Callithrix jacchus: one gene and its partner. The protein of the gene in region 1 purifies or fractionates together with the protein of each later gene. This does not show direct contact. Links are inferred from orthologs where the notes say so. Each region holds a gene or a part of one and is shown on either strand. Other genes may lie near its edges. The genes, in order: FBXL15 and SKP1.

Region 1 (10,457 bases):
AGGGGAAGTTGCATACCTGGTTCAGGAATCCAGTGTCAGCAGGTCCTCTGAAGAGTGTGGCCAGGCGCTCAGGGGGGCCCCCCAGCCCATTGGGGAGAGAGGAGTAAAGCCCATCTGCTCCAACCTGGGGTGGGGCTGGTGGCCCATGTATAAGGTTCCGGCTGCCAGGTAGGGTCGAGCCTCCTCTGGCTGGAAGTGGGTCTGATGTGGATGCTTCCAGCCGTAACTTCCGGTTGGAGCCAGGCCCAAGGGCTGGGGTGGGCCTGGGGGGAGAAACCCCACCCAGATCCCAGCTCCGACTCAAGCCCCCGGGAGCAGGTAGCCCATTCAGTGGCCTCACGCTGGCCTTTTCCACAAAGCGGAAGATGACCACAGAGCTCTGGGCCCCAGGAGGGGGCTGCCCAGTGGGTGAAGAGGGTGCCCAGGGTGACGGAGCAACATGGGGTGAGGGGGGACCACGCAGAGGTGTACAGGGTGCTGTCACACGTCCCAGTTCCCGGCCTCGAGGACCTGGACCTGCCACTCGCCGTAGCAAGGACCCTGTGCTGCCATACATGCTGGCTGGGGGACTCTGGGGCACCGGGCCTTCGGGGAGCCAGCGGCGTGGGCATCGTGGTGGGGAGATGGCACAGTCGCCTTCTGAGCAGAAGCGCATGGCACCCTGGGCCATGCTGGGGCCGGGGGTCAGGCTGGGGGGGCAGGGATGGCGAGGCCAGGCGGGGAGTAAGGGGGCTGCATGCTCTTCAGACAGGCCTGTAAGAGAGGAAGGGGAGCATGGGGTGAACTGCCAAGGAGTTAGATGGACAGGACAGCAGAGATAGGGAAGGGAAAGTTGGCTGCAGACTCTGAGTACCAGGGACCTAGCTCACCCTGGGAATATGAGATCAATGATCCCACGCCTGGGGGCTACTTCCATAGAGGCCTGAAGAGAAAAGAGTTATACACCCGGTGGGCCCCTGGCTCCTTTCCTTCTGCCTGGGGCCCTGAGCATCACCCTGGGAGGAAAGAGGAAGCAACTTCAGAAGTTGAGTGGGCTACTGGTACTTTGGGGCTACTGCTGGTATGGGGAAGTTGGTACCCCACCCTCTGGAGCAAGGGTGTCAGTCAACTGTCACCATCACACAGTCCTGTGACCCCTATAGTCTTTCTTATGGAGTCCCCTCACTCAGGGAAGGGAAACTCAGGTCTTCTGGAAGGAGAGGGAAGAAGACCAGGGGTTATATAGGGATGCTGAAGGGCTAAGAGGCACAGCATGGAGGTAGGGAGAAAGGCCTGAGCAAAGGCTCCTACCCCTGATATATGTATACAGAATGGGAAAGGGACATTCTTTTTGTTTGTTTTTGAGGTGGAGTTTCGCCCCCGCTGCCCAGGCTGGAGTGCAATGGTGCTCTTAGCTTACTGTAACCTCCACCTCCCAGGTTGAAGTGATTATCCTGCCTCAGCCTCCTGAATAGCTGGGATTACAGGTACCTGCCACCATACCTGGCTAATTTTTATATTTTTGGTAGAGATGGAATTTCACCTTGTTGTCCAGGCTGGTTTCAAACTCTTGACCTCAGGGGATCCCCTCGCCACGGCCTCCCAAAGTGTTGGGATTACAGGCGTGAGCCACCACACCCAGTCAGGGACATTCTTTTCTCCATACAGGTACAGACAGGCACACACATATACACACACATGCACACACACATACATAAGGACAACTATATCAGTACACAGTCAAACACATTCATAGGTAACACCCTCTGGCATACACAGACACAGACACACACACTGCTCAAAGACACACCCTCATGCACTCTCATAGTCATAACAAATATGTGTGTAATGGAAAGGCACATGCTTGTTTTACACACACACCATCATCAAACAGTAACACACAAAGAGGTACCCAAATATATATATATAGGCTGTTACCCTCCAGTGCACACAGAGGTCCAGGTGTATCAGACACTCAGATACCTAATACTCACAGTCACATACACATACAGATGTACATTTACACACTCAAGCAGGGACACACACCCTCCCCTCCCCCCACTAGTCACTGGGGTCTCTTGAGGGGAACCTGCACCATATTCCTCATTTCCCTCGTCCCCCAGGGGTATGACGGATCCTGTCCGGGCCAAGAGAGACCATAACCGGGTAAGGGGGCCTCTGGTGGCAGTGCAGGGGAGGGGCAGAGGTCAGGAACAGCAACCCTGCCAGGCAGGTTCTGGAAGCTCAATGGGGTCCCAGCGCATACCCAGTGCAGCCCCAACTCAACGCCACCTCAGTACTCACCGCTGCTCGCCCAGAGCTGAGACCGAGGAGAGACAGAGGAGAGGCTGGGCCCAGCTCAGCTGTGAAGGAAGCGCGGCTCCCGCTTGCTCCAGGCCCGCCCGCCTCTCAGTCCCTCCCCCTACCCCCTACGCACCGCACAGGCAACGCTAATCCCCCCCCAGCCCCCGCCCTCTCCCAGGGCCTGGAGCCCTGGAGGCTGCCAGCACCCCCTTGTCGCTAGGTCCCTGCTGGGCTCTCCCGCCAACCTAAGACCCACCCCAGACCAGGAGGAGGACGCATGAAACCCTTGCTTCTATTCCCCAGACCCTCACGTGCCCCACCCCACTTGTGTCCACGTCTCTCTCGCCCACCGCCCCTCGAGCCACACGTAAGGCCCGGCTGTACACGCGTGTCCCGCCCCAGACCCCACGCGTGTCCCTAGGAGGCTGCCACATGACCTGTTACATGCCACACGCGCTCCCGCCCCCACGAGCACGCGGCCGCACCAAGCACACGGTATGGGTGTAGACTGGACCCGCCCCCTAAATCCAGGAGACCATCAACTATGGAAAGGAGATCTAGGGAACACCCTCTTGAACCCGCCAGGGGTTTTGAGTCTCGGACTCAGGAGACCCAACCCTAACCACCCTCCCGGGATGCAGCAGGGGAATGTTAAATCAGACTTCAGGAAGAACTTCCTTGCTGCCTGAGTTAGGTGTCGTCACCCTTGCCAAGGTGTAAGAGGTTAGATGGGATGACCTCGGGACTGGAATACGTGAGGGACAGGCAACCCTTGTGCCCTTGGCCAGGGTAGAAGGGGGCCCTGCTATTTTAAGAAAGCGCCGCTCGAGTTACTATGGCAACTACTCTCCTTAGGAGGGCCAGGGCGGGCAGATGGTGACCTCGGAAGGAAGAAGGGGTCTGTTAGGGCAGTCAGGGGGCGCGAGGACGTGAGAGGCGGGGGCGCGCGGGGCTCACCGCGGGGTGGGGCGGCGCGGACTCCGCGTGGTGCTGAAGGGGACAGCGCCAGATTTGTCGAACTGCGCAGGCGCAGAGGTGCGAACAAAGAGGGGAGGGGGACGAGGCGCGCGGCCGGAGGCGATGCGTGCTCTCACGTGGCTCGATCTTTGCAGGGGTCTGTCCTCCCAGTTGTCCCCTCCCCAAGCAGGCTGAGGAAGAGGTAGCAAGCCCTCACCTAACTTGACCCCCTTTTGGTCCTTCCCCGCTGCTAGCTTCTCCCTTCTCGCTGCCTTGCGGGTTGGGGGAACGTGGAATTCTGGGAAAACCAGATGTCTGGATTCTCTATTCCCGTCTGGCTGGATTCCGGACAAGGCGTTTCCTCTCCAGGGCCTCGGTGCCCCCATCTTTAAAATGGAGTGATAACACAGACCTGTCCACCTTTCAGAGGTGCCCGAAGCAATGACGAAATAACAGACAAGAAGCAGTTTTCGTTGTGATGAACCACTGAATCGGCTGCACCGAAGTAGCGCCAGATCGTCAGCGGTGCAATGGCCCTCGCATCCTTCACATTCCCTCACACCCATCCCGTGGATGATGGGGGAAGGCACTATTCCTGGGGTTCTCATAGCGGAGCCTGGGATTGAGACGTGGGGACGCGGTGAGAGGCAGCCCAGAAGCTGAGTTCAGAGGTCTGGGGCGTCACTGCCCCAAGGCGGACCCAGCCCCAGACACTACGACTAAACCCAAGGCCAGCCAAGAAGCACAACCTCTGGAGGGCTGAGCTGAGCTCTCATTCTTCTCAGGACTCTGGACCTTTGGAGGAAATAAAAGGGACCCAGTTGGAAATAAAATTCCTTCTTCGCGCCCCCTACGTCTCTCTCCCGCGGCGGAAACGCAGCCCAAACTAAATCGAAGTGGAAGAGGCTGGATAGCTCTTCACAATTAACCAGGAATGGGAAGTTTGAGCAGGTTTACTTGATGAAAGAAAAATTATAGCCTCGCCCATTCATTCATTATTTCAACAATTACTGATTGAACACCTGCTAAGTGGCAGACAGTAAGAGCCTGGATAATTTCTCCCCGTTTTTCAAAGTCGCTAAATGCGACTAGAGGACAGAGGCGAGGTCGGTAACCTAGGAGTCCTGGCTCCGCCCCCTCCGCTTTTGGCCTTGCCTGCTCCTCCTCCCGTCACCACTTCGCTCAGAGGCGGCCACTGGCCCAAGAGGACAGCAGAAGCCAGTCAGTCTCTGATGCCCACCGCTTTCTCCAGCTTCGGGCCTGAAGCCCTGTAGCCGAGAAGGCGAGGTCTAATGTTACACCACCGGTCTGTTCCGCCTACGTTTCGGCTTCCATCCGAAAAGCTTTCAGATCGGATCCTCGGTGAGACGGTACTCGATTGAATCGGTCTGTCTCTACAGGCCAAGGAGGCGGGTTTGGCTCGGCCACTCCAAGGCCAAAGCGAGGAAAGCGTACTGCGCACGCGCAATAGACAGCCGAAGGAGCCACCGATGGAGCCGTCCGGAGGGGAGCAAGAGCCCGGAGCCGTCAGGTACCGAGCACCGGAGGGACGGAAAGAGGAAAGAGGAACCTGAGAGAAGGGAGCCGAGCCGGGGCTGGGGCCGGGGGCCGCTCTTGGGAGCTTGGGCGTAGGGGCATAACGGAGGCGGACTCGCAGGTAATAGTGGCCCCGGGATGCCAGTGCCAACGCCCCTTTACTCGCAGGCTCCTGGACCTGCCCTGGGAAGACGTGCTGCTCCCTCACGTCCTGAACCGGGTACCGCTGCGCCAGCTGCTCCGGCTGCAGCGCGTTAGCCGGGCCTTCCGGGCACTGGTACAGCTTCACCTGGCCGGGCTGCGTCGCTTCGACGCCGCGCAGGTGAGCCTGGGGCTGAAGCTCCGCCCCTGCCTGAGTTCCGCCCCGCCTCTAGGCCAGCCCCCAGCCCCACTGTTTGCCCTTCCTGACCCCCTTAGGCCACCGGAGCTGCCCGGGATGGGATCCACGCAGTAGGGAGTACTCCCAAAGGGCGAATACTGGGTAGCGACTCAGGGAATGTGGGGGTCTCCCCTGGGAGAACAGGCGGCTGCCAGGAAAGAACGGGCGCATAGGCGGCTGAGGAGTGCGGAACGGGCTGAGAGTTGGGGTGCCTCCTCGCCCGCAGGTGGGTCCGCAGATCCCACGGGCCGCATTGGCCCGGCTGCTGCGGGACGCCGAGGGGCTGCAGGAGCTGGCGCTAGCGCCGTGTCACGAATGGCTGTCAGACGAGGATCTGGTGCCGGTGCTAGCGCGGAACCCGCAGCTGCGGAGTGTGGCGCTGGCCGGCTGCGGGCAACTGAGTCGCCGGGCGCTTGGGGCGCTGGCCGAGGGCTGCCCACGCCTGCAGCGCCTGTCGCTCGCGCACTGTGACTGGGTGGACGGGCTGGCGCTGCGCGGCCTCGCCGACCGCTGCCCGGCCCTGGAGGAGCTGGACCTCACCGCCTGCCGCCAGCTCAAGGACGAGGCCATCGTGTACCTAGCGCAGAGGCGCGGCGCTGGCCTCCGCAGCCTCTCGCTGGCCGTCAACGCCAACGTGGGGGACACCGCGGTTCAAGAGTTGGCTCGGAACTGCCCAGAACTCCAGCACCTTGACCTCACCGGCTGCCTCCGCGTCGGAAGCGACGGTGTCAGGTGCCTGGGCCTGGTGGGGCGGGAGGGTGGGAGGAAGGCAGTCTCACTTAGCCTCTGAAGGTATGGTGCGGGCTGTAGTTGCTAAAAGGACGGACTGAGGGTTCTGAATTTTCCTGCCAACCACAGAACCCCCATTCTGAACAGAAAAATCCTCTAGGATTGCCTTCCGGACCCCCTTAGGCCAGAGAGCCCATAGTTTAAAAACTTTTTGAACCAGTATTTACACATTGGGAGATTTCACATAGAAAGTCGACTTCTGGCTTTTCTTCAACGAGGGGGAAACCTTGCAATTCTAGGCGGAGCTGAGGGACAGGTTCCCCCCTTAAATGAGACAGGAAGTCTCCGCCTCCCTTGAATCCAATCCAGGCGCCTCCCTTGTGTGGGACGGAAAAAGTATGCCCCTGCCCCGAACTGGACGGAGACCGGGATTTTGCCGGAGCTAGTCCGAGGCTGAGTGAGCCCGGGCCCCCACCCTGCCCCACCAAGGGTGTGGTGGCCTCTTGCCGCTAGCCTCATCCTGCTCCTCCCTCAGGACACTGGCCGAGTATTGCCCGGCGCTGCGCTCGCTGCGAGTGCGGCACTGCCACCATGTGGCCGAGTCCAGCCTGAGCCGCTTGCGGAAACGCGGCGTGGACATCGACGTGGAGCCGCCGCTGCACCAGGCCTTGGTGCTGCTGCAGGATATGGCGGGCTTCGCACCTTTTGTCAACCTGCAGGTCTGACTCTGCCAATCGGAGCACAGCTGGACTGTGTGGCTGGGGCCTGACACTGAGCGGTAGGGAAACCGAACCGTGGGGTCCTCTGGTGAGAGGCCAGTGCCCTGCCCCACCCTGGAGCTTCAAATAAAGAGCTTTTCACCCCCTTTTGCCTGGTGCTGCCCTGTCGAAGATAGAGGATTCAAGGTTTGGGAGGGAAGGTCAGATAGGCCTAGTGTCAGACAGTCTTGAGGCAGAAATGACCAGAATGCACTCACACCTTCCTTGGGCCACCTTTACTGAGCCCATGGAGGCAGCTCCGAGTAGGTTAACACTATGGAGCAAAGAAGTAGAGAATGGGGACAGGAGTTAGGGGGCCTATGTGTAGGGCTGTAGGGCTCCTGCATCCCTCTGGGATCTAAGCCTAGAAGGCCGGGGCAGAGTCCAGCAAGTGCCTTAATGGAAGCGGTACTTTCTGGCCGGCTTGAGGTTGATGTACGTGGCCTTCATCTCCTCAGCCTCAGGGTTCCGCACATCTTTGAATCGCTCCCCTTTGGTGCTGACTATCTGGTTGTCGATGTATCGGATCAGCTTCTTGGGGGCCTGTCAGGAAATCAGGCAGTGAGTGGCAGAAGCCAGGAGCCAGTCCCACCCATTCCACATCCCCAGTAACCCCAACTCTCACCTCCTTGGGAGCCATGGGCCGGTGAATCTTCTGATCCTCTGCACTATCCACCATCATGTACCTGCCAAAAACTGGCTGGATGAAGCTCTTGTCACCCTGGGAAGACCCTCTAGGGACAGCCCAGCCCAACCCAGACTCACTTCTGCAGGATGAAGGACTTCAGCTCATCCTTTTGGGGGCCTCTGAGGCGTCTAGGCAGGTCCTGCAGAGAGGGGAGGCCTGGTCTGCCCAAGGGCACCAGCAGGGGAAACAGACAGGGATAGGTAGGGGTCGGGGCTTAACACCGAGGTGGAATGTAGCCGAGGCTACATGGTGGGGGGTGCTGGGAGAAGATACCTGGTTGGAGCCATCCCAGGCTGCAGGCCCCTCCTCCTTCCCCTCTACCAGCATCTGCACAGCTTCTTCCAAGTCCCCCCGAGCTTTGGCCAGCACCCAGTGGGCCTGTTCCACCGAACAGGTAGGGAACACCTCCAGGAGTACATCCACCCCTGGCAGAAGCTCCTCCTCAGCACCAGTTGCCTAAGGGTACAAGCATTAACAAAAGGCAATACTCCCCCTTTCCAGGCCCCTGAGTCCCTCATTGCTACCCTCCTCTACCAGTACCTCATCTTGGGTGTCCCCAGCAGCAGCAGCAGCAGAAGACCTGGTCTCCTCTTTGAGCATTTCCGGCCGCTGCAGAGGCTCTGGGGAGATGGGCACCTGACCTTGGACACCAGAGCTCTGCGGTTGCAGGTTCTCTTAAAGAGGCAGAGAGAGCATCAGGTTTGCCAGCGCTCTGGGGAGTAGGGAATTGGGAGGGGTCATGAATCACCCAGGTGCCTACAGCCTCAGACTCACCTTTGTTCCTAGCATCGCTCAGCTGCCCTGAGAGCTTCTGCATCATGTCCCCTATTGTGCCCCTGAAAACATAAGGGTAGTGAGAGAAGACAACTCTACCCACCCCATAATCAGCCAGCCCCTTCCTCCTCCTGGCCCCAGCCAGAACCTACCTGGGGATGTGGGCAAAGCCAGGCACATAGGCCTCCATCATCTCAGTGAAGGCCTCCATATCGAAGTTCTCCTCTGATGGGCCTGAGGGGCCCAGGTCCTCCAGGACCCCGAGCACATAGGAGAAGATGACCTCATCCAAACCACTGCAGGAAGGGGACAGGACAAGCCCTGGGTAGGACACTGGATACCTCCAGCATCCCCACCTATCCTGAAACTCCAGCCTTCAGCTTCATGGGGTTCATGAGCTAGACCTTAATCCTTGAGGCCAAAAAGTGTAACCCCCTCTCTCAGAGCTATGGTTTCCCCTCTGCCCAACAAAGGTAACAGGGACAGGATGAGCAGGAAGGCCTCTTAGCAAATTGTAATCAGCCCTCCCACCATCTTTCCATCAGCCAGGACTCATAGCACTGCCAGGCAGCTCCAGCTGTGGCACTGACGTGAACCTTCCCAGGGAGCTGTCTCTACCTGAGGTCGGCCTCCGGGAGGTACGTCTGGACAAAGGAAAGGAGGGCTGCACTGACGATCCTCTCCAGCTCCATGCTCTCTCCTCTTCTGAAGGGACACAGACAGACAGGATGGCCAGGCCCTCTTCCGTCTGCACTCACCCACTGGACCTGGGGGCAGCAGCTCCTCCCTCCTGGCCTGCTGTGGAACCATCTGTTGATGCTGCCCTCTCTGTTCTCCCAGAACCATGCCCCCTCCCCCGCCCATCTCTTACCTCCTCCAGCCTGAGACAGGACAGGGTACTGTCTCTGGAGACAGCCTCTAGAGGAGTGCCCCCCACCTCTCCCCATCCCCCTACCCCATTCCCTAGCAGCAGCCCCAGACCTTCTGGCAAGGTCTTGAGGTCACATGCCTCCTGGCTTAGAAATCCCATAAGTGAGGGGGCCCCTTAGCCTCCAACCACAAGGAGCCCCATTGTCCAGCCCCTCAAGGAGCAGCCTCATGACCAAGCACAGCCCTTCCCCCACCCAGAACAGCCCACCCACCCTCTGCACAAAGGGGCTTTTCTGGCTCTGGGGCCCAGATAGAAGGGGAAGCCTTTTATGGATTCTCTCCTCTCCCCAGTTCCTGCCCTTCCTGCAGCCTGGGGCTATCTGCAGAGCACTTTCCATCCTCCTCTGGCCAGGCTCTCCAGCCTCCCCAGTCCTTCCTGGCTGGCTTGCTCCTGCGCCACCTTGCTGTCCCTCAGACTTGCAGAGCTTCCTCCTGTCTCTACCCACATGCTCCTGACTCCCAAACAGACTTTTGGGAGTCAAAATGATGTAGATGGGATGGAACATGTCAACAAGTATGTATTGTGCACCTACCCAGGACAGGCATTTTGTGTTCTGCAGACATCCATGGCTTGTCCAGTCACTCCTCAGAGCTCCACTCAAATGTTACATCAGAGAGCCCTTCCCTGACTAACCTACAGCAAAGAAGACTTATCGATGCCCCTAACCCTACATAGCACCGTTAGCATTATTTGTGCTTATTTGCCTATTGTCTGTCTGCCCCATAAAATGGAAGCTCCAAAGCAAGGTGGGGAGGAGGGGGACACTCTGTCTTGTTCATGCCCTAGCACCTAGAAAAATGCCCACACTAGGTGGGTGCTCAATACATACTTGTTGACATGTTCCATCCCCATCTACGTACTTTTGACTCCCAAAGGTCTGTTTGGGAGCATGCCCTTGATTTTGCTCTTTTTCACCCCTACCTGCTGCACCCAGTCAACCACCAAGTCCGTCAGTTCTACTGCCTTCTTATCCGAATTCTATCTACTTCTCCCTTTCTCAAGTCTGGCTTCTCTAATATCTCCACCAAAATTTCTTTTTGAGACAGGGTCTGGCTCTGCCACCCAGGCTGGAATGCAGTGGCATGATATGAGCTCACTGCAACCTCCACCTCCCCAGCTCAAGCCATCCTTCTGCCTTAGCTTCTGGAATAGCTGGGACTACAGACCTGTACCACCATGCCCTGCTAGTTTTTCTTTTTTTTTTTCTTTTTTTTTGTATTTTTAGTAGAGATGTGGGTTTGTCATGTTTTGAGCTCCAGGTTCGAGACCCAAACTGGTCTCAAACTCCTGGGCTCAAAGCAATCTACCCATGTTGGCCTCCCAAAGTGCTGCGATTACAGGAGTGAGTCACTGTGCCTGGCCCCAAAATTTCTTAGACCAAAATTTCCAGGTTTTGGTCTAATTAAGTTGAACCATATGAGC
Region 2 (10,093 bases), on another chromosome or scaffold:
GCCTTTCAGAGGTGCTGGGATTATTGGCATGAGCCACCATGCTCAGCCAACCTGAATTTTTTTGTTTTTGTTTTTGAGACAGGGTCTCACTCTGTTGCCCAGGCTGGAGCACAGTGGTGTGATATTAGGTCACTACAACCTCCGCCTTCCTGGTTCAGGCAGTTCTCTTGCCTCAGCCTCCCAAGTAGTTGGGATTACAGGCGCCTGCTGCCATGCCCAGCTGAGTTTTGTATTTTTGTAGAGATGGGGTTGCACCATGTTGGCCAGGCTGGTCTTGAACACCTGACCTCAGGCAATCTGCCTGCTTCAATCTCCCAAAGTGTGAATGTTTTTACGTGTATTACTGGCCATTTACATTTTCTGCATTGTCTGTTTTCATTTTCCTGTTTTCCTAATGGACTTAAAAAGTGGTAAAAATACATATGACGTTTATCATTTTCAGTTTTTAAAAGTGCACCATTCAGTGACATTAATTACACTCACAAGTGTTGTGCCGCTGTCACCACTAACCATCTTCAGAACTTTATCATCCCAAACTGAAACTCTGTATCATAACTCCGCATTTTTGTACACTCCCTTCCCCAAGTCCCCTAGATAATCATTATTCTACTTTGGGTGTCTGAATTTAGCTATTCTGGGCACATCATATATGGAATCATATAATATTAGTCATTTTGTATCTGGCTTATTTCACTTAGCATAATGTTTTCAAGGTTCATCCATGTTGTCTAATGGGCTTAAAAAATTGTGGTCAAATATACATAACAAAAGTTACTATCTTAACCATTTTCTCTTCTTTTTTTTTTGAGATGGAGTTTTGCTCTTATTGCCCAGGCTGGAGTGCAGTGGCATGATCTTGGCTCACCGAAACCTCCACCTCCTGGGTTCAAGTGATTCTCCTACCTCAGCCTCCTGAGTAGCTGTGGTTATAGGCGTGCACCACCATACCCAGCTAATTTTGTACTTTTAGTAGAGACTGGGTTTCTCCATGCTGGTCAGGCTGGTCTCCAACTCCTGACCTCAGGTGATCTGCCCACCTCAGCCTCCCAAAGTGCTAGTATTACAGGCGTGAGCCACCATGCCCAGCCATCATCTTAACCATTTTTTTTTTTTTTTTTTTTTTTTTTGAGAACAGAGTCTCACTCTGTTGCCCAGGCTGAAGTGCTGTGGCACAGTCTCAGTTCACTGCAGCCTCCACCTCCTGGGTTCAAGCAGTTCTCCTGCCTCAGTCTCCCAAGTAGCTGAGATTACAGGCATGTGCCACCATGCCCAGCAATTTTTTGTATTTTTTATAGAGTTGGGATTTCACCATGTTGGCCAGGATGGTCTGGATCTCTTGACCTTGTGATCTGCCTGCCTTGGCCTCCCAAAATGCTGGGATTACAGGCGTGAGCCACTGTGCCTGGCCATCTTAACCATTTTGAAGTGACAATTCAGTGGTATTATTTAATAGGCTTTTTTTTTTTTTTTTTTGGAGACAGTGTCACTCTGTTGCCCAGGCTGTAGTGCAGTGGTGCGATCTCACTGCAACTCCGCCTCCTGGGTTCAAAGGATTCTCCTGCCTCAGCCTCCTGAGTAGCTGGGATTACATGCGTGCGCCACCACACCTGGCTAATTTTTGTATTTTTAGTAGAGACAGGGTTCTGCCATGTTGGTCAGGCTGGTCTTGAACTTCTAACCTCATGATTTGTCCGCCTCGGCCTCCCAAGGTGTTCGGATTACAGGTGTGAGTCACCGTGCCCTGACTCTAATAGGCTTTTTATAAGAACTCTTTTAAAAAGTTTCTACCAGTTTGCTTATCTTAGTTAATTTATTTTATGATTTAGAGGGTTTATTTTATCTAGTTAGATCTCTTTTTTTTTTTTTTTTTTTTGAGACGGAGTTTCGCTGCTGTTACCCAGGCTGTGCAATGGCGCGATCTTGGCTCACCACAACCTCCGCCTCCTGGGTTCAAGCAATTCTCCTGCTTCAGCCTCCCTTGTAGCTGGAACTACAGGTGTGCGCCACCATGCCCAGCTAATTTTTTTGTATTTTTAGTAAGAGACGGTTTCACCATGTTGACCAGGAATGGTCTCGATCTCTTGACCTTGTGATCCACCTGCCTCAGCCTCCCAAAGTGCTGGGATTATAGGCATGAGCCACCGAGCCTGGCCAGATCTCATTCTTTATGATTTCTGAATATGCCTTACAAGTAACATTCTATTTTATACTAATGAAAAATGGTTCTAAAAGGATCTTTGCTTGTAGTCATTCAAATGCCAGGTACATTCAGATGCCATTCAAAAGCTGGGGGTATAGCAGTGAACCCAAAATCCTTATGGAGTTTATGATCTGAAGGGTTGGGGAAACATACAACATTAGAAATATATCAGATGGAAAAGCTATGGAGAATGAAGAAGGGAACGGGGAACATAAAAGGGTGAGTAGGTGAACAGTAAGCTATTTTAAAAATAAAGATAGGAGATTCCTTACTGAGAAGATGATCTTTAAACAAAGAAATGTGAATATGTGGCGGGGGAAGGATTCTTGGATTTGGGAGCAAGTGCAGTGACCTTAAGACAAGAGCATGCCCTGCCATTTCAGGAAAGACAAGGATTTTAGTGGAAGCTAGAGCACAGTGACCAAACAAGAAGGAAGTAGATAAAATCAGAGTTAAGGGGCTGGGTGATTTAGGGCCACTTGTGAGAATGAGAAGTGTTTGGTTTTTTGTTTTGTTTTGTGTTTTTAAGATAGGGTCTCACTCTGTTGCCTAGGCTGGAGTGCAGTGGTGCAGTCATGGATCATTGCAACTCTACCTCCCAGGTTCAGGTGATCCTCTCACTCCAGCCTCCTGAGTAGCTGGGACTACAGGCGCATGCCACCACACCTGGCTAATTTTTGTATTTTCTATAGAGGTGGAGTTTCACTGTGTAGCCCAGGCTGGTGTGGAACTCCTGGGCTCAAGTGATCTGTCTCCCTTGGCCTCCCAGATTGCTGGGATTATGGGTGTGAGCCACCACACCTAGCTAAGAAGTTTTTTTTTTTTTTTAAAGCCTGTTTGCATTGAATGTATATTGTATTTTGAATAATAATTACATGATGCCAAAACTGAAAGTGTACAGTAAAATTTCCCATCGTTGTCTCTTATCTGATGGGAAACTATTCCCCCCAGAAAGTAATGTGGCATTTTTTATTGTTTTTCTTTTTTACTGGCGCTACCCGTTGTGAACGTAGGCAGGCATTAGTTTCTTATATATCCTTTAAAGAGTTTTTTATTTTTAAATTTTATTATTTTTTTATTAGTAGTGGTAGTAATTTTTTTTTTTTTTTTTTGAGACAGAATCTCTTTCTCTCTTGCCCAGACTAGAGTGCAGTGGCGCAATCATGGTTTGCTTCAGCCTCAACTTCCTGGGCTCAAGTGATTCTTTTTTCTCAACCTTCTGAGTACCTGGGACCGTAGATGTACGCCACCGCCCCTGGCTCATTTTTGTATTTTTTAAAGAGACGGTTTCACCATGTTACCCAGGCTGGTCTCGAACTTCTGGGCTTAAGCATCTCTCCCACCTTACCCTCCCAAAGTGCTAGGATTACAGGTGTGAGCCTCCTCGATCAGCCTATTTATTATTATTATTATCATTTTTTTGTAGAGGTGGGGTCTTGCTACATTGCCTAGGCTAGTTTTGAACTTCTGGCACTCAGCAGTCCTCCTGCCTCAGCCTCCCAAATTTCTGGGATTACTGTGCCTAGCTTTAGAGTTTTTAAAATGCCCAGATAAGCAAATATTAATTGCCATTTGTTCCTTTTATATTATTGGAATACTGCTTAAGAAGTTTCATTAAAACCCTTTGCTGGTTAGGCATGGTGGCTCATAACCTGTAATCTCAACACTTTGGGAGGGCAAGGTGGGTGAATTGATTGAGTTTAGGAGTTTGAAACCAGCCTGAGCAACATGATGAAACCTTATCCCTACAAAAACAAAATAAAAAGATGAGCCAGGTGTGGTGGCATGCACCTGTAGCCCCAGCTACTCGGGAGGTTGAGGTGGGAGGATTGCTTAAGCACAGGAGGTCGAGTGAGCCATGATTACGGCACTGCATTCCAGCCTGGGTGACACAGTGAGTGACGCCTTGTCTCAAAAACAAATGAACAAAAAACCCTTGCTTGGCTTTGCCTTATTGAAACTGTTATTTCTTTCTTTTTTGTTTTTTTGTATCCTGGCAATATAATTTCTTGGCTCTACTATTTTCTCTCAGCATTGTTTATTTCTCCAACATTTTCCTATGAAAACGTTTTAACCATACAGAAAAATTGAAAGAATTACACAGTGGACACCTATACGGCCACTGCCTAGATTCTACAACTTAAAACACTTTAAGTATTGATTTTGGTCTTTATGTTGGTATGTAGGTAATCAGCTTCCTGAAACTTTATGAAGTCATTATTCTCTTATTAAGGGAACTTTGGGGCTTTTGCTGTTTTGTTGTTGCACCATATAGTCTTACAGATGTGTCTGGGGTATTTGGAATTTCCTGGTTACAGTATATGCACATATTCAGCTTTACTAAGGAGTGCTGGATTAGTATAAAATGGGTTATACCAATTTATACTCGAGTTCGTGTTTCCTTTCCACTATTGTCCAACAATTAGTATCAATTTCTTGATTTTTTTTCATTCTAGAGAAGTATCTGTAGTGTTAGTTTTGCTTCTAAGAAGTTGAGTGTTCCTTACATTTGACTACTCAGTTTTCATTTATTGCCTGTACATATCTTTAACCCATTTCTCTATAGTGACTTTTAAAATATTTTATATTCTCTAGGCTAATCATTGTTCTACGTTTTGGAGATATCCTCCAGTCATTGTCCTGTCTAACTTTTCTTTTTGCATAGAAACGTTTTTTTTTTTGAGATGGAATGCAGTGGTGCCGTCTTGGCTCACTGCAACCTCTGCCTCCTGGGTTCAAGTGATTCTCCTGCCTCAGCCTTCTGAATAACTGAAATTACACCGGCCACCATGCCCAGCTAATTTTTTGTATTTTTTTAGTAGAGACGGGTTCTACCATGTTGGCCAGGCTGGTCGCATCTATGACCTTGTGATTCGCCTGCCTCAGCCTCCCAAAGTGCTGGGATTATAGGCGTGAGCCACCACGCCCAGCTGCGTAGAAGCTTTTTAATGTGGTCAAGTATGGTACTCTGTCTACATGGCTTGCTTTTATCTAATAAGATCTTCTGCCTTCTAGGGTTATAAAGATTCTTCAAGCTTCATTTTTGCTTTTCAAGCTTGGCTGTTAATTGCTCAAGTCAACCTCTAGCTAGTTATTATCCCAACATAGAGATAAGTTGTCCCAGCAGTGGAATGAGTACCTTTGACAAAATGCCACTGAAGAATCAACTTGTTGTTGTAGGTCATTCAGTGGTGCACCCACCACAAGGATGACCCTCCTCCTCCTGAGGATGATGAGAACAAAGAAAAGCGAACAGATGATATTCCTGTTTGGGACCAAGAATTCCTGAAAGTTGACCAAGGAACACTTTTTGAACTCATTCTGGTAAGTTTTTTTGTTTTAATTTTTTAAATTTTTATTTATTTATTTATTATTATTTTTTTTGAGACGGAGTTTCGCTCTTGTTACCCAGACCGGAGTGCAATGGCACGATCTGGGCTCACCGCAACCTCCACCTCCTGGGTTCAAGCAGTTCTCCTGCCTCAGCCTCCGTAGTAGCTGGGACTATAGGCATGCACCACCATGCCCAGCTAATTTTTGTATTTTTAGTAGAGACGGGGTTTCACCTTGTTGGCCAGGAATGTCTCTATGTCTTGACCTTGTGATCCACCCACCTCGGCCTTCCAAAGTGCTGGGATTATAGGCGTGAGCCACCGCACCCGGCCTTGTTTTTTTTTGAGACGGAGTCTCGCTCTGTCGCCCAGGCTAGAGTGCAGTGGTGTGTTCTCGGCTCCCTGCAAACTCTGCCTCCCAGGTTTAAGCAGTTCACTCCACCTCCCAAGTAGCTGGGATTACAGGTGTGTGCCACCGTGCTTAGCTAATTTTTGTATTTTTAAGTAGAGATGGGGTTTCACCATGTTGGTCAGGCTGGTCTCAATCTCTTGACCTTGTGATCCACCTGCCTCAGCCTCCCAAAGTGCTGGGATTATGGGCATGAGCCACCATGCCTGGCATCTGGTAAGTTTTTTTTAACATATAAAATAGCTCTATTCCAGAGCCTTTAAATATTACTTCTTACAGATTTAAAATTTGCTAACTTCATTGACACTGAATTTTAATACTCTGAATTAAAATGTAATGCCATATTTAAATCCACATATCAGTAACACACTAAATGTAAATGGTCTAAACACAGTTAAAAGGCAGAAATTAACAGATCAAAAAAGCAAGATTAGCTATGCTGTCTGTAAGAAACCCACTTTAAGGAAATAGACACACCTAGGTTTAAAGAATGAAAGAAGGTAAACTATACTGACATGAATCAAAAGAAAGCTGGAGTGACTATGTTAAAATAGATGTGGAGGCAAAGAATATTACTAGGGTTAAAGGGGATTATTTTGTATCGTTAAGGGGATCCATTTTTTAAGAAGACATAACAATCATAAATGTTTATTTGCCTAGAAGAATTTCAAGAAGTGAAACAAAACCCAGAAGAACTCAAAGAAGTCCACAAATTTGCAGTCATAGAGCTTTCAGTACCTCTCTCAATTAATATAACAAGTAGACAGAAATCATGATAACTTGATATAACACTATTGACCAACTTAATGGACATTTATAAAACATTTTATCTATCTATATCTATATATTATGTATCTGTTTGAGACAGTCTCACTCATCACCCAGTCTGGAGTGCAGTGGTGCAGTCTCTGCTCACTGCAACCTCTCCTCCCGAGATAAGTGATTCTCCTGCCTCAGCCTCCTGAATAGCTGAGATTACAGCCACCTGCCACCATGCCCAGCTAATTTTTTGTATTTTTAGTAGAGACGGGCTTTCACCACATTGGTCAGGTTGGTCTCGAACTCCTGACTTCAGGTTATCCACCTGCCTTGGCCTCCCAAAGTGTTGGGATTACAGGTGTGAGCCACTGTGCCTGGCCTAAAACATTATATGTAACGATAGCAGAATACATATCCTTTTCAAGTGTATATTACCAAGATAGACCGTGTTCTGGGCCATAAAACAAGTCTCAGCCTGGAACAGTGGCTCACACCTGTAATCCCAATACTTTGGGAGGTCGAGGCATGTGGATCACTTGAGGCCAGCAGTTTGAGACCAGCCTGGTCAATATGATGAAACCCCTGAATTAGCTGGGTGTGGTGTCACACACCTATAATTCCAGCTACTTGGGAAACTGAGGCAGGAGAATCGCTTGAACCTGGGAGGCAGACGTTGCAGTGAGCCGAGATTGCACCACTGAACTCCAGCCGGGTGACAGAGTGAGACGGTGTCTCAAAAAGAAAAATCTCTATCATAAAAGGATTTACGCCATACAAAGTATGTTCTCTGCAATGGAACTAGAAATCACAAACAGAAAGGTAACTGGAAAAATCTGCAGCTTCTTTAAAACTAACACATTTGCAAATAACCTGTAAGTCAAAGAAGAAATAAAAAGAATTTGTATTTTGAGCTGAATAGAAATAAAACACATGAAAAATCTGTGAGATGCAGCAAAAGAAATACTTAGAGGGAAATTGATAGCATGAAATACCTATATTATTAGAAAAGAAAAGTTTCAAATCAGTGATCTAAGCTTCCACCTTAAGAAACTAGTAAAAGATGAAATTAAATACAAAGCAAACAGAAGAATTAGAATATATAAGGGCAGAAATCAGTGAAATAGAAAATAGGTAATAAAGTCAGTGAAACCAAAACCTGTTTTTAAAAATCAGATCACTAAATATAATGCTATAACTGCTTATTGAACTCTTTAAGTGTGGACAAATATTTTTGTCAAGATCTGATGTGGTATTTGTCAAGATCTGATGTGTGTCTGTACACACATACACAACAGTAGTGGCCATTAACATTTGAGCTAATACAGTTTGGTTAAGGAAGCAGAAGGATTCAGCATCATAGAGATGTAACAAAGGTCACATAAAAGTCTTTCATGGAGGAACTTATGAGTGATTTATTCTTCTCCCTTTAATAAAATTATCATTTTAAGCTTTATTAGACATGGAGTTTCAATCATTAACTTTAGATTTAGTTTAAAACATCAAGTATACTTTAAGGAAAACAACTATCTCTTTACAGGCTGCAAACTACTTAGACATCAAAGGTTTGCTTGATGTTACATGCAAGACTGTTGCCAATATGATCAAGGGGAAAACTCCTGAGGAGATTCGCAAGACCTTCAATATCAAAAATGACTTTACTGAAGAGGAGGAAGCCCAGGTAGGTGGCACACAGTTTTGTCTCTGATCGCATGCTCTTAAAAAGGGACTAAAGCCTGTAATACACCAGAAAAGAGGTGACTGTATCAAGTAGTCTTGATACTTGAGGGATACTAGGTAGTTTCTGTGTCTTAAACATACTCTTACTGTACTGTCTGTATGAGTCTAAACACTTACATGATACTGCATTTTTTTTTTTGAGATGGAGTTTTGCTCTTATTACCCAGGCTGAAGTGCAATGGCGCGATCTCGGCTTACCGCAACCTCCGCCTCATAGGTTCAGACAATTCTCCTGCCTCAGCCTCCTGAGTAGCTGGGATTACAGGCTCGTGCGACCATGCCCAGCTAATTTTTGTATTTGTAGTAGAGACAGGGTTTCACCATGTTGACCAGGATGGTCTCCATCTCTTGACCTCGTGATACACCCACCTCGGCCTCCCAAACTGCTGGGATTACAGGCGTGAGTCACTGCGCCCGGCCGATACTGCATTTTTAAGCATAAGAACAATTAGTTTTCAACAAGAGGAGCTCTTTCTTGTAAATGTGTTAACAGTTACTAGTTCTGGCATCTGCAGCTTTTTGTATAGACCATACATATCTGACTTCAGAAAAGCAGGCCCTAGAGAAGTGTATGCTAGGGCACTTGAGAGCAACTTAATGAGGGGAGGAAATGAAAAAATAGATCAGAATGATTTTGTTGACATGACTACAGACTGAAATTGTGTCAGTTAACTAACTGAATTTGCTCTGTCAACTTTAGTAAACTGCCCATTGTCTTTATTTTGTTCAGAATTTCAGCAGGGCAGAATAAAAACCTTGGGAGGCAAAAAAAGGAAATCCAGAAGTGTAGTCTCAGTCTGGTGTTCTGATTTTCCATCTATTCTACTGACTCACTGGCTATCGATGAATCAGTAGGTAGTATATTTAAGTCTTAGGAAACACTACTAAAGTTAAGGTACTTCCTTATATCCATCTCTTTTAGGTACGCAAAGAGAACCAGTGGTGTGAAGAGAAGTGAAATGTTGTGCCTGACACTGTAACACTGTAAGGATCGTTCCAAGTACTAGTTGCACTGCTCTGTTTATAATTGTTAATATTAGACAAACAGTAGACAAATGCAGCAGTAAGTAAATTGTATTAGCAGAATATTGTCCTCATTGCATGTGTAGTTTGAGTACAGATTCCAAATCTATGGCTGAGTTTCTTCTAATATGATTGAAAGTTTCTTTTTTCTTTGCTCTGAATAAAACTGAACTGTGGGTTCTCTATAAGTGGCATTTTGGGCTTTCCCTCTTTTTTGTAAAGCAGTGTCTGCCTAGTTTATTGTCCAGTTAACTTTAGTGACCTTTTAAAAGTTGGCATTGTAAATAAAACAACCTGCAAAAAAGTTATCTGGAATAGAATTAACAAAATATTATCTTTATTCATGAGTTGGAAACTGCAAAAGGCTTCTTGAAGTAAATGTTCTGAGTGGAGTTACTAGGATGTCTTTCAGCCTCCTGCAGGCAAGGAGTACCACCATATTGATTAGCCTGTATTTAGCAGGGCTCCTCCCTTCATTGCATCTGAGGACTTGTCTTCTTTTTCTTTAATTTTATTTTTAATCCTCTTAGCTTTAAATATATTGCCTAGAGACTCAGTTACTACACAGTTTGTGGTTTTTTGGGAGAAATGTAACTGGACAGTTTGTTAGCTTTTCAATTAAAGACACTTAAC

What was found.
Region 2: the proteins of FBXL15 (region 1) and SKP1 purify together in Homo sapiens (affinity purification with western blotting; 10 studies listed by BioGRID and IntAct, counting the BioPlex papers as one, with this or other methods). This does not show direct contact. The link is inferred for Callithrix jacchus from reciprocal best matches to the Homo sapiens genes FBXL15 and SKP1.

The regions. Positions count from the first base shown.
Region 1 is NC_133513.1:95,410,241-95,420,697, forward strand, and holds FBXL15 (F-box/LRR-repeat protein 15), read left to right. Parts: upstream 1-4,704; 5' UTR 4,705-4,730; coding exon 4,731-4,771; intron 4,772-4,944; coding exon 4,945-5,098; intron 5,099-5,381; coding exon 5,382-5,887; intron 5,888-6,419; coding exon 6,420-6,609; 3' UTR 6,610-6,749; downstream 6,750-10,457. Other genes in the region: PSD (PH and SEC7 domain-containing protein 1), read right to left, coding at 17-670; CUEDC2 (CUE domain-containing protein 2), read right to left, coding at 7,039-7,185, 7,268-7,328, 7,408-7,469, 7,604-7,786, 7,871-8,004, 8,105-8,166, 8,257-8,400, 8,723-8,796. UniProt on the Homo sapiens protein: Substrate recognition component of a SCF (SKP1-CUL1-F-box protein) E3 ubiquitin-protein ligase complex which mediates the ubiquitination and subsequent proteasomal degradation of SMURF1, thereby acting as a positive regulator of the BMP signaling pathway.
Region 2 is NC_133503.1:74,170,347-74,180,439, forward strand, and holds part of SKP1 (S-phase kinase-associated protein 1), read left to right. Parts: intron 1-5,380; coding exon 5,381-5,524; intron 5,525-8,237; coding exon 8,238-8,378; intron 8,379-9,359; coding exon 9,360-9,395; 3' UTR 9,396-9,421; exon of another isoform or gene 9,422-10,093. UniProt on the Homo sapiens protein: Essential component of the SCF (SKP1-CUL1-F-box protein) ubiquitin ligase complex, which mediates the ubiquitination of proteins involved in cell cycle progression, signal transduction and transcription.